Arabidopsis thaliana: one gene and its partners. The protein of the gene in region 1 interacts with the protein of each later gene in a pairwise test. Each region holds a gene or a part of one and is shown in the gene's direction. Other genes may lie near its edges.

The links. The genes of interacting proteins can lie anywhere in the genome.
Region 2: the proteins of BZO2H1 (region 1) and GBF6 interact in binary tests that used the Arabidopsis thaliana proteins (3 or more experiments, as listed by UniProt).
Region 3: the proteins of BZO2H1 (region 1) and bZIP44 interact in binary tests that used the Arabidopsis thaliana proteins (3 or more experiments, as listed by UniProt).

What each region holds. Positions count from the first base shown.
Region 1 is NC_003075.7:1,152,240-1,156,912, forward strand, and holds BZO2H1 (bZIP transcription factor family protein), read left to right. Parts: upstream 1-1,714; 5' UTR 1,715-1,791; coding exon 1,792-2,202; intron 2,203-2,290; coding exon 2,291-2,372; intron 2,373-2,718; coding exon 2,719-2,905; intron 2,906-2,986; coding exon 2,987-3,062; intron 3,063-3,138; coding exon 3,139-3,264; intron 3,265-3,353; coding exon 3,354-3,703; coding exon of another isoform or gene 3,704-3,707; exon of another isoform or gene 3,708-3,824; coding exon 3,825-3,846; 3' UTR 3,847-4,117; downstream 4,118-4,673. Other genes in the region: AT4G02630 (Protein kinase superfamily protein), read left to right, coding at 1-922; AT4G02650 (ENTH/ANTH/VHS superfamily protein), read left to right, coding at 4,300-4,673. UniProt on the Arabidopsis thaliana protein: Transcription factor that binds to the C-box-like motif (5'-TGCTGACGTCA-3') and G-box-like motif (5'-CCACGTGGCC-3'), ABRE elements, of gene promoters. Binds to the 5'-ACGT-3' motif of seed storage protein (SSP) encoding gene promoters (e.g.
Region 2 is NC_003075.7:16,519,842-16,523,740, forward strand, and holds GBF6 (G-box binding factor 6), read left to right. Parts: upstream 1-2,019; 5' UTR 2,020-2,607; coding exon 2,608-3,087; 3' UTR 3,088-3,389; downstream 3,390-3,899. UniProt on the Arabidopsis thaliana protein: Transcription factor that binds to the DNA sequence 5'-ACTCAT-3' in target gene promoters. Promotes POX1/PRODH1 expression in response to hypoosmolarity stress.
Region 3 is NC_003070.9:28,290,074-28,293,518, forward strand, and holds bZIP44 (basic leucine-zipper 44), read left to right. Parts: upstream 1-1,624; 5' UTR 1,625-2,150; coding exon 2,151-2,672; 3' UTR 2,673-2,935; downstream 2,936-3,445. UniProt on the Arabidopsis thaliana protein: Transcription factor that binds to the DNA G-box motif 5'-CACGTG-3' of MAN7 promoter. Involved in the positive regulation of seed germination through MAN7 gene activation.

The sequences.
Region 1 (4,673 bases):
GGTGGCTATAAAGAATCTGCTCAACAACAGAGGACAAGCTGAGAAAGAATTTAAAGTCGAAGTCGAAGCTATTGGACGCGTAAGACACAAGAATCTGGTGAGATTGCTTGGTTATTGCGTTGAAGGAGCTCATAGGATGTTAGTTTACGAGTATGTTGATAATGGGAATTTAGAACAATGGATTCATGGTGGTGGTTTGGGGTTTAAGAGTCCTCTTACTTGGGAGATTAGGATGAACATTGTTCTTGGAACAGCCAAAGGGTTAATGTATTTACACGAAGGTCTTGAGCCTAAAGTTGTTCACCGAGATATTAAATCGAGTAATATCTTGCTTGACAAGCAATGGAACTCGAAAGTTTCTGACTTTGGGTTAGCTAAGCTCTTGGGTTCGGAGATGAGCTATGTGACTACTCGTGTGATGGGTACGTTTGGGTATGTGGCTCCTGAATACGCGAGTACCGGAATGTTGAATGAGAGGAGCGATGTTTATAGCTTCGGTGTTCTTGTTATGGAGATTATTTCAGGGAGAAGTCCTGTGGATTATAGCCGGGCTCCGGGAGAAGTGAATCTTGTGGAATGGTTGAAGAGATTGGTGACGAATCGAGATGCGGAAGGAGTTTTGGATCCGAGGATGGTTGATAAACCGTCGTTAAGGTCATTGAAGCGTACCCTTTTGGTAGCTTTAAGATGTGTTGATCCTAATGCTCAAAAGAGGCCAAAAATGGGTCATATCATTCATATGCTTGAAGCTGAGGACTTGGTCTCTAAAGATGATCGGAGAAACTCTGGAGGAGGAGGAGGAGGAATAGAACAGGGAAGGTCACCGCGGAGGAAGACAAATGTGAATGAATCAGAGGATGAGAGTGGTAATTCTGTTCTGATCAACAATGACCAATTAGCTTTGGAGAATAAGCAGAACTAGTAAAAAAGAAAGAAGCTTTGGCATTATAATTTTGTATTACTATTTTTAGAAGTTTTTTCTTGTGTGTGTATATTTATGTGTGTAGATTCTTAGCCCTTTCACAAAAAAAAAAAAAATGTGTGTAGATTCTTGTAATTTTGCAATAATTAAAACTGGGGATTGCTTGAAAAATATATATATGGTTTGTTTTTTTGTATTCTTTTGGTTCGTTCTCTATTGTAATATAGCCTACATAGTGGTGATTTGTGGTATTGGTGACACTATGTTAAGGTCAAAAAGAAATAGAGAGTAAATTCCATATATATGAAAATTGAAAATGACTGTTTAAATTTACATATGGCGCGAAAAAATGATCTAGTTCGTTAATTATTTTTAGAAGCTTTTTGTGGTAAATTTAGATTTTTAAAAAACTCCATATATTTTTTTTTTATAATTTAGGCTTGTCTATTGTAAATTTGTAATATAGCTTAGTGATTTATTTGTTTAGCTTCTGGTGACATTTTATAAATTTTTAATGACCAGTATAATATAGTATTTTTTTATAAATTAAAATATAATCTAATGTTTTATGTCAACTTCGTTGTTCATTGAATAAATCAAACTTTGAAGAATAATTAAATAACAATGTTTGCAAAAACTGTTACGTTTTTTCATGTAAACATTAGTGGACGTTATACAATAGATATTTAAATTATAAAAACTATTCAAAGAATATTGTAAAGAAATAAAACAGAAATGTGTAAGAAAAAATGTTTATTTTATTGTACGTAATAAAAAAAGAGAATATACTTGTGTGGGTGGACCTAAATGCAAATAGGCAAAGTACCGACAAAAAAAGAAGAATCAGAAAGTGAAAAAGAGAGCGAGCGATGAACAGTATCTTCTCCATTGACGATTTCTCCGATCCTTTCTGGGAAACTCCTCCGATTCCTCTCAATCCCGACTCTTCTAAGCCTGTTACGGCGGATGAAGTTAGCCAGAGTCAACCGGAATGGACTTTCGAGATGTTTCTCGAAGAGATTTCTTCGTCGGCGGTGAGCTCTGAGCCACTTGGTAACAACAACAACGCGATCGTCGGTGTTTCTTCGGCGCAATCTCTTCCTTCTGTTTCCGGACAGAATGATTTCGAGGATGATAGTCGATTTCGTGATCGCGATTCGGGAAATTTGGATTGTGCTGCTCCCATGACGACGAAGACGGTGATTGTTGATTCCGATGATTATCGTCGTGTTCTTAAGAACAAGCTTGAGACTGAGTGCGCTACTGTTGTTTCTCTTCGGGTGTGTTGTTAATCTTCTATTTTTCTTATCTATATGTGTAATTTGTGCGTTTTGATCTAAATCTGAAGCTCTGATGTTCTCTTCTTAGGTTGGGTCTGTGAAGCCTGAAGATTCGACTAGTTCTCCAGAAACTCAACTTCAACCAGTTCAATCCAGTCCTCTTACTCAAGGTAAGAGTCTCTTCTTAGTTTCACCAGGATAGATGAGCGATGATAAACCTGCAGATTCGTTTCTCTGTTCTGTGTTTGTTAATTTAGATGCCTAGGTTAAGGAATTAGAAATAGAAAATGGTACTTTTGTTGGATCAAGCGCCTAGTTTTATCCGTCAAGTTTCAATCTTTTTGTGACTGACTTTCTCATTGAAATTAAACTGCTTTCTGGAAGAACAATAAGCTTGGGATTGAGATGAGTTCTGGTGGTTAGTTCAATATATGGGAAATCATTATTTCAGCGCTCGTCTTTCTCTTTCAGATATCTCTTCTGAGTCTTAGACATAGTAAGTTTTAATCGTGGTAGGTTCTTTGATGACCCCAGGAGAACTTGGTGTTACTTCTTCCTTACCAGCTGAGGTGAAAAAAACTGGTGTATCAATGAAGCAGGTTACTAGTGGATCGTCGAGAGAATATTCTGATGACGAGGACCTTGATGAAGAGAATGAAACCACCGGTTCCTTGAAGCCAGAGGACGTTAAAAAATCTAGAAGGTAATCATTACTTTTTCTCCAATTTCTTGTCGTTTGAAGATTACATTTATAGAGCCTTGTTCTTCCTTTTAATATTTGTAGGATGCTGTCAAATCGTGAGTCAGCTAGGCGATCTAGAAGGAGAAAGCAGGAGCAAACAAGTGACCTCGAAACACAGGTTTTGTGTTGTATCCTCTCAACACCTCATTTTTGTGTTGAAGGATATTAATGAGACCTAATTTGTATTTTGATAGGTTAATGATCTAAAAGGTGAGCATTCATCACTTCTTAAACAACTGAGCAACATGAATCACAAGTATGACGAGGCTGCTGTTGGCAATAGAATACTAAAGGCTGACATTGAGACATTAAGAGCTAAGGTAAGAAGACTTAAGTATTATCCTCCTCTCCTTTTTCTGAACTACCCTTTTTTTGTATACAGTTTTAGTAACTCCCATGTTATGTTAAGGTGAAAATGGCGGAAGAAACCGTGAAGAGAGTAACAGGAATGAATCCGATGCTTCTCGGAAGATCAAGTGGACATAACAACAACAACAGAATGCCAATAACTGGTAACAACAGGATGGATTCTTCTAGCATTATTCCAGCTTATCAACCACACTCAAACCTAAACCATATGTCAAACCAAAACATCGGGATCCCAACCATTCTACCTCCAAGACTCGGAAACAATTTCGCTGCTCCTCCATCCCAAACCAGCTCTCCCTTGCAGAGAATTAGAAATGGGCAAAATCACCATGTTACTCCAAGCGCCAACCCGTATGGCTGGAATACCGAACCTCAGAACGATTCAGCATGGTAAGCTAAAACATGGCTCTTTCTTTTAAGACCATTGAACAATTTAAAACCATTTGAAGTACTATGATCCCTGTTTATACATATCAGATTCCTGTCTCCCCTTTTTTTGCTCATTTTACAGGCCGAAAAAATGCGTGGACTGATCAAACAAGAAGCGGGTTTCGCACTATATTAATGTCTATGCATCTGTAATTTGTAAGTGTTATTAAGTTACGAATCATGAGAAAACATCTTGTGAAAATACAGTCTCATGGCTTATATATATATATAAGCTCTGTCTTATAACATTACAAGATTCTTATTTGAGAATCGTCTTTCTATTTATAGCTAATAACAGAGTGTATATCTGTTTTTATCCAATTTTAAAAAAGATAGCTCACATGGCTTTACTAATTTCCCCTATCATTAAATTCCGACAACCTCGGCGATTTCCATGGTAGATCGATCAAGCATTCACATTTTCTCGTCAGAAAACACAAAAAAAAAAAACAGAGGAGAAAAAGAGACGACGACAAACAAGTGAAAGAAAAAAGTCGTCGTTCTTCCAATTTTTTTCTCCTCTCTCTTCCTCTGTTTAACGGCGTACGTAAGTCAAAATGGGTTCAAGTAAGCTAAAACGTGCCATAGGAGCCGTGAAAGATCAAACAAGCGTAGGATTAGCCAAAGTCGGTGGTCGAAGCAGTTCTTTAACGGAACTCGAAATAGCTGTCGTGAAAGCGACGCGACATGATGACTATCCAGCGGAGGACAAGTACATTAGAGAGATTTTATGCCTAACTTCTTACTCACGCAATTACGTAAGCGCTTGTGTGGCAACTCTCTCGCGACGGCTCAACAAGACCAAGAACTGGTCGGTTGCTCTCAAAACCTTGATTTTGATCCAACGGTTGCTAACAGATGGAGATAGAGCCTACGAGCAAGAGATCTTCTTCGCGACGAGACGAGGAACGAGATTGCTTAACATGTCTGA
Region 2 (3,899 bases), about 15 Mb from region 1:
AATTTCTTTTTTACTAATTTTGTTATATTTCTTTTTAACTGTTTTGATTTATTTATAAATAGACTAAAAAGTATGTTGAGTGAATATGTTTGGTGAAATTCATGCATCGTTTTTGGGAAGTGGGCTGGATCAGTGGATCTCTTCCACACTTTCCCAAACTAATAAAGAGAAACTGAAAATAAATAAAAAACGAAAAAAGTTAAATTATTTAATCGTAATTTAAATTTTGTAAAACAATTTTTATAACTAAAACACCATCTGTGGTAAGACGGTGGAATACATTAAGAATGTAGTATTAAATTACTACTCTACAAGTACTTAACTAATTATTATAATCCTTACATATTATCAGCATCTGAATAATTAACCCAGATTAATACGTATAAATCTTTCACAAATTGGAGAATAAGATTAGGAAATGAAAACAGCTGTATTGAGTCTGGAGAGTTCGTATCCCAACCTCACATGTCCCTCTCACCTTTTCTTCTTCTTCGGCCTACTTACACATGTTCTTCTCATTTTACTCTAAGCACAGATTCTTTTGTATTTCTTAATCTCTTTTTATTTTTATTTCAGGTTTTTTTTCATTTGATTATTCACAAATTAACTATTTTATTTAGTGTTGGTGGTAATTGATTTTTAATTAGTTTCATAGATTTCTGCAGACAAATTCTGGCTTTCATGTTTTTCTTTTTGCTTTTTTTTTTAATAATAATTCGCATTACAAATATATCATTAATTTTTCTTTCTCTTTTGTCGTTACGTGAAAATAGATTTGCTGTGTGTTTTTTTTCTCCCGACAAATATAGACTTAGAGCATTTCCATCGCGAGTTTCTGGATTCTGGTCTATTAAAACAGAACAAAAAATTCAAAAAATGTGGAGAGAAAGTAAAAACGTTTCTCACTTGAGAAACTCATTTTTGCTTTTGTTTTGTTTTGATTGGTTCAAATAATAATTAAAAAAATAAATAATAAAATAATAATAAAATTTATATTATTTTATAAAAATGGGTTTCTCACCGATGGAGATGGTCTTACTGTTTTACTGAAGAAGATTTAATAAAGTTCTCGCTTCTTTTTTCCTCTGAGCTTAACTTTTTACTTTTTGTGATAATAAAAAGAAGAAAACAAAGAAAAAGTTTTGTTTTCCTCTAAAACAAAGAATAGTTTTATCTGCAATCTTTGTAAAAGAAACTGTACTTTGTTTTTTTTTTCAATTTCTTTCCTCCTAAGAAATCACAGTACTAAACAAAACCAAAAGAAAAAAAAAAAAAATTTAGGCAGGTCAATTTTTAAGCTGGTCTGTTTTTGTGTGAGCTTTAATTTTCTGTCTTTGAAATATCTTTATCTACCACGACAGTTTATAAAATTTGAAAGGGAAATTTATTTGGTATTAGGTTTCTAAGAACTTCAATAAAGCTATATTTTCAATTACTTGTTATTAAATGCAAAAAAAAATCTAAATGGATGTTTAGGTATAACTGCAACAAAATTTATGGAAAAAACAAGACTTGATGAATGTATAATCTCAAGAGTTATTTTAAGCATAAATTTAAATCTAAATTTTCTATTTAAAATTATTTGATGAATTTTTCTATTTTTAATTATGATAAATGCAAGATTCATAGTATCTAAATTTAATACAGTATATGATTAGGCTTTTCATTAAACAATATAAATATTTTTTTTATCTTGACATAATGATGAGTAAATAATTTACCAACTAAATACATATAATTTTTGATCAATACCATTCAAAAGAAGAAAAAACACTTTCTCTTACTTATCTTTGAATTAATTTTGAAATATTTCATTAAGAAAAATTAATTGTTTAAAATATTGCTTTGATTAATGTAGACACTCTAGAAAACTTTTTAAAGGTTAGGGAAAAAATGTTACCAAAAAAAAGTTAGGAAAAAAATGTAAAAATAAAGAAAAGAATCTTCTTCCCCTAATAGAATCCAAACAAATGTATCGCTTACCATCAAGTTGCACAAACACTCAAAACGCTTTTTGATGATTTTTCTTCTATAAAATCTTTCTCCTCAACCATTTCAAAGCCCCCTCTTCTCTCCTTCTCTCCCTTTTCTCTCTCTCTCGAAGATATCGCCTTTAATTCCTTCTTCTTCTTCTGATTTCTTCAAAGATTCATTTCTTAGAGATCTCAGCTTCTGTAAGAGTAGGCTAGCTACCAAAAAAAAAGAAATAGAAAAAAACATTGATGCTTAATCAGCAGTTCTTGGTGTTTGAGACACATGTCTCCAATAATACTCAGTGAGATCTTTCTCTCTGGGTTTATGTTAAATTCCACAATCAGGCGCAGGACCCATCTTGTTCAATCTTTCTCTGTTGTCTTCCTTTACTGGCTTTACTATGTCTCATGATCTCTGAACTTATCTCCAGTTTTATATCTATACGCATAATTACAACAAAACCCTAGTTTCTTTTCAAATTTCTCTTCTTCGTTTTTCGTCATCTGGGTCCTGTCCTGTTCTGTTGTGTCTTGTTCTGTTCTGTTTTTAATTCCCCTAAAAACCCATTTTAAAATATTTTATCTCTCTTCTCTTAAAAAAAACTCTTCCCTGTTTTTGTTTGTGTGTTACTAAATGGAATCGTCGTCGTCGGGAACAACTTCGTCGACGATTCAAACGTCGTCAGGATCGGAGGAGAGTCTCATGGAGCAGAGGAAACGTAAACGGATGCTCTCAAACCGTGAATCTGCAAGGAGATCAAGAATGAAGAAACAAAAGCTCCTAGACGATCTAACGGCTCAGGTTAATCATCTGAAAAAAGAGAACACGGAGATCGTGACAAGTGTCAGCATCACAACGCAACACTACCTAACCGTTGAAGCAGAGAACTCTGTTCTCAGAGCTCAGCTTGATGAACTTAACCACAGGCTCCAATCTCTCAACGACATCATCGAGTTCCTCGACAGTAGCAACAACAACAACAACAACAACATGGGCATGTGTTCGAACCCTCTGGTTGGTTTGGAGTGTGATGATTTCTTCGTGAATCAGATGAACATGTCTTATATTATGAACCAGCCTCTCATGGCGTCTTCTGATGCTTTAATGTATTAAATGTGGACCTAAAAACCCCCTCGAAATCACAAAGAAATGGGGCCGTTTTTATTTGTCCGATTTAGAGACATGTCCAAAGAGAGAGATTTATATATAAAAATGGGTCTGTTGTTTGATTTGTTTCCATTTCAAATTTTTGTTTGTTTGGGTCCGTTTTAGGCGTTAGGTATCTCTAAGCATCATCGTTATGAGTGTGTCTGTAATAAAGGCTCTGTTGCCGCATGAGTACAAAGTGTTTTCTTAATATTGTAATATGCTTATTACTTTCTTTTTATTCTTAAGTACTAATCCCATTTTTATATAATTTCTTGAGCATTAATAGTAAAGTAATAAAATGTATCGTAGTAAGAGTTTCGCATGTAACGTACGCTCTACAGAATCATGTTTCACGCCAATCAAACATTATAGTAGGCAGATGAAATATCAATGATAAAATAGCTTGTAATTTTGGGTAATCTTCAACTCGCCAAAGTAAAATTTTAAAAAGGTGTTAATGTTGATTAAGGTGTTTTTAGTCATGAACGAGTGTGGATGATATTAGATTCAGTTTATAGATTTGGATCTATTCTTAAGAAGAAGACTTACGAAATTCAAAACTTTTAAGAATCTAGATGAATTGAGGGTTGGTAGGTTAATGTTGTAATAAGAAGAAACCTTATTTTCTTTTTGATCTGGAAAAAGATAAACAACATATAACATCTTACATAAAATCCTTTTATGTCTGAAGATCTCTCAGAATAAGAAATGAAACTGTGCAGATTCTTGTAAAATATTTTAAACTTATTTCTTGTGAATTTTGGAGATTTTTTTTG
Region 3 (3,445 bases), on another chromosome or scaffold:
ATTTTTTAAAAAAATAAGGCCAAATAAGCATTGTGTGAAGAAGACAAATTAGTACAAATTACTTTTTCTTACCTGTTGCAATGTTTGCAGGGACACATTCATTAATTGGAAATACCTAATTAACGTTAGACTTCACTTATTCGATTGAACCAACATTTTTTCTTTTTAAAAATCCATTTTCAATAATAAAATGACACGTGTCGATCTTACATCTCAACTGCGATGTTTGACATGGGTCCACATGCGCACAGAGCACGCACTCTTTGCATTGCAATTGCACGTGAGATGTCCGTACTATGACGGTCCATCTTACATAATTTTCCTATTCAATTAATTAAGCTATATATATATGTGTGTTTTACAAAATTTAGTATATAATATTATTGTAAGTTATAGAGCTGTAGATGAGTACGTATTATTCTTATTTCAATCTTTTTATGAGATTTATAGATATCAAAGTTTTGCCGAAATGTTTGATTAATTACGAGCTCGAGGATGAACAAAAAAATTTGGTAAAGAGTTTCTCACAAACCATTTCAGTTAAAGCACCAAAACCAAATGATTAAGTAGTCATGGTCCACATGTAATATGTTACACACAATAAAATTATTTTATAAATTGACACGAATTTACGTCTTGGATTCTACAATCCAATGTTATGTAACTATACGTACCACAACACGTCGGTCACATGAAGTTCAATGAGTTAAAGTTTTTGACACCCTTAATGTTTAGATAATGTATATATGTTCTTCTTTTTGTTGTCAAATAGTAGTTTTTTACCGTACTGTAATTTACTCGTTTAAAGTTTATTGTTTTTTCTTTTTGTCTTTTCTTTTCGATATGTAACTTGATATTTTATAGTGGACTCCAAAACGTTATAGAAATATTGTAAAGATAATAATAGTTCTAATTTTGATGCTTCATACGGCGATAAATTCAACGGCTGGTTAGTTGATAGTTTTCTAAACTATTAATTTATTATCCTAAATATATATATTATTTTTTTGGACAGCGAAATTGATTGAATTATTGACAAAAAGATATATGTATAAGAAATTAAATAACGAAAATACCACCTCTACCCTCATTCATGATTTGTCTCATGCTCCAGGTGTCCGTTGCTCAACGGTTAATTCTGGTACTTTGGGCGGTGATTTTGATGTATTAAAAAGAAGTCGAGAACCAACGACAAAAGTTTCAATTATTCTTATTATTATTATCTTTAAGATTCTTTAGCAGTAAAAGTTAGCATTAATACAAAACTATTATTATCAGTGTTACTGTAATATTGTTGAAAGCCATCATTTGACCAAAATTAATTAAACGCGTTGTTTTCATCAGAGAATAAAATTTGAAGATTTTAAAAATCAAAACTTTTCACAAAATAGGATACCCAATACCGAAGATTCTTTCCTTTTCCATATTAAAAATGTCTAAAAATAGTTATTGGTTAATTATACAGAATCATTAATTTACAATTAAACCCATACACATAAATATATAAATAAAATATTGCAAAACAGCTGTAACTTGACTGTTTCGGAAAATCCCACTTCACATGCTTCATCTCTCAACACCTTCTTTCTGATATTCACTTTATACTCTCTTTATTTTCTTATTAAATCTAGTATGCTCTAAACCCTTTTTGCTAACTCTATAAAATCCCCTCACAAATCCTTAATTCACCTCTTCCCCTTCGCTCTCGAATCAATCACTCTCTCTTCTTTAGCGTTTTTATTTTGTCTTCCTCGTTTTCTTCTACCTTTTTATATTTTCTCTCTTTTCAGTTTTCTCTAGAAAAAAACACTAGTAATCAGTTTGCGTTTGATAAATATTTGATGTGGCAAAACTCTTGTGGATCTTGATGTTCAAACATTCATGTCTCCGGTGATTAGTGAAATCCTTAGATCTGGTTTAACTATAGACTCGTCTCTTAGACGCAGGACCCATCTTGTTCAATCTTTCTCCGTCGTCTTTCTCTACTGGTTCTATGTTTTCTCATAAATCAGCTCTCCTTTAGCCCTTTATTATTATATATTCTATAACCATAATAATATATTAAAACTATATACTATAATCTTTTTACATAATAAACTTTGGGTCCTGCGTCTTAATCATAGTACTTAATTTTCTCTGTGTGTTTTAATATGAATAATAAAACTGAAATGGGATCTTCCACAAGTGGAAATTGCTCGTCGGTTTCAACCACTGGTTTAGCTAACTCCGGTTCAGAATCTGATCTCCGGCAACGTGATCTAATCGACGAGCGGAAGAGAAAGAGGAAACAGTCGAACAGAGAATCTGCGAGGAGGTCGAGGATGAGGAAGCAGAAGCATTTGGATGATCTCACTGCTCAGGTGACTCATCTACGTAAAGAAAACGCTCAGATCGTCGCCGGAATCGCCGTCACGACGCAGCACTACGTCACTATCGAGGCGGAGAACGACATTCTCAGAGCTCAGGTTCTTGAACTTAACCACCGTCTCCAATCTCTTAACGAGATCGTTGATTTCGTCGAATCTTCTTCTTCAGGATTCGGTATGGAGACCGGTCAGGGATTATTCGACGGTGGATTATTCGACGGCGTGATGAATCCTATGAATCTAGGGTTTTATAATCAACCAATCATGGCTTCTGCTTCTACTGCTGGTGATGTTTTCAACTGTTAGAAAACTTCACATCATTATCATCGTGAGTGAGACTAATCATCGCAGCAGGGGTAAAACTGTAATTTTTCTTATAAATTATGTGATGATGCTTTGTTTCTTTATTTTATAAGATGGTTAATTAGTGTTTAAAACTGATTGTAATGATAGACAGTGTAAGAAATGTGTGATATCATGGAGATGGTGATGTGAGTTTGGTACAAATATTTTAAGATCTTTTCTTTCTATATATTAAAAGTGAAGAAATAATATTTTGTCATTTTCTTAGAGTTTTCTGTTTCCTTATTTGGGAGTTATTGTTGCTCTTATTAGAAAGATGAAATTTTGGCTATTAGTGAAATAAATGAAAATAATGTGAAAGCTCGTGGACGGTTTTTGTAGATGGCGGTGGTCCATTTAAAATACTATATAGAAATGGTGTGTTGTGATTATTGTGTTAGAGACTATATTTTCCCGATGTGATAAAATAATTATGCATTTTGGTACTTACATCAAAATGAGTTGTTATCATGGGTCACTCGAGTTTTTTTCTTTTTTAAGAATTTTATACCATCTCCATCGAAGTATCTGATTGAGATACTCATCAAATAAATAATAATTAAAAAGAAAAAAAACAAGAGAGAAAGAAAGAAAAGTGGCGAACCGTTTCTGGCAAAAGAGACGATTCTTAGCATTTATTGAGAGTTGTCATTCAACTAATGGTTTATTTACTTTAAACTAATTAAAATATATTAATTTAATTAAAATACTAATTTATTTATTTTTTGAGATATTCT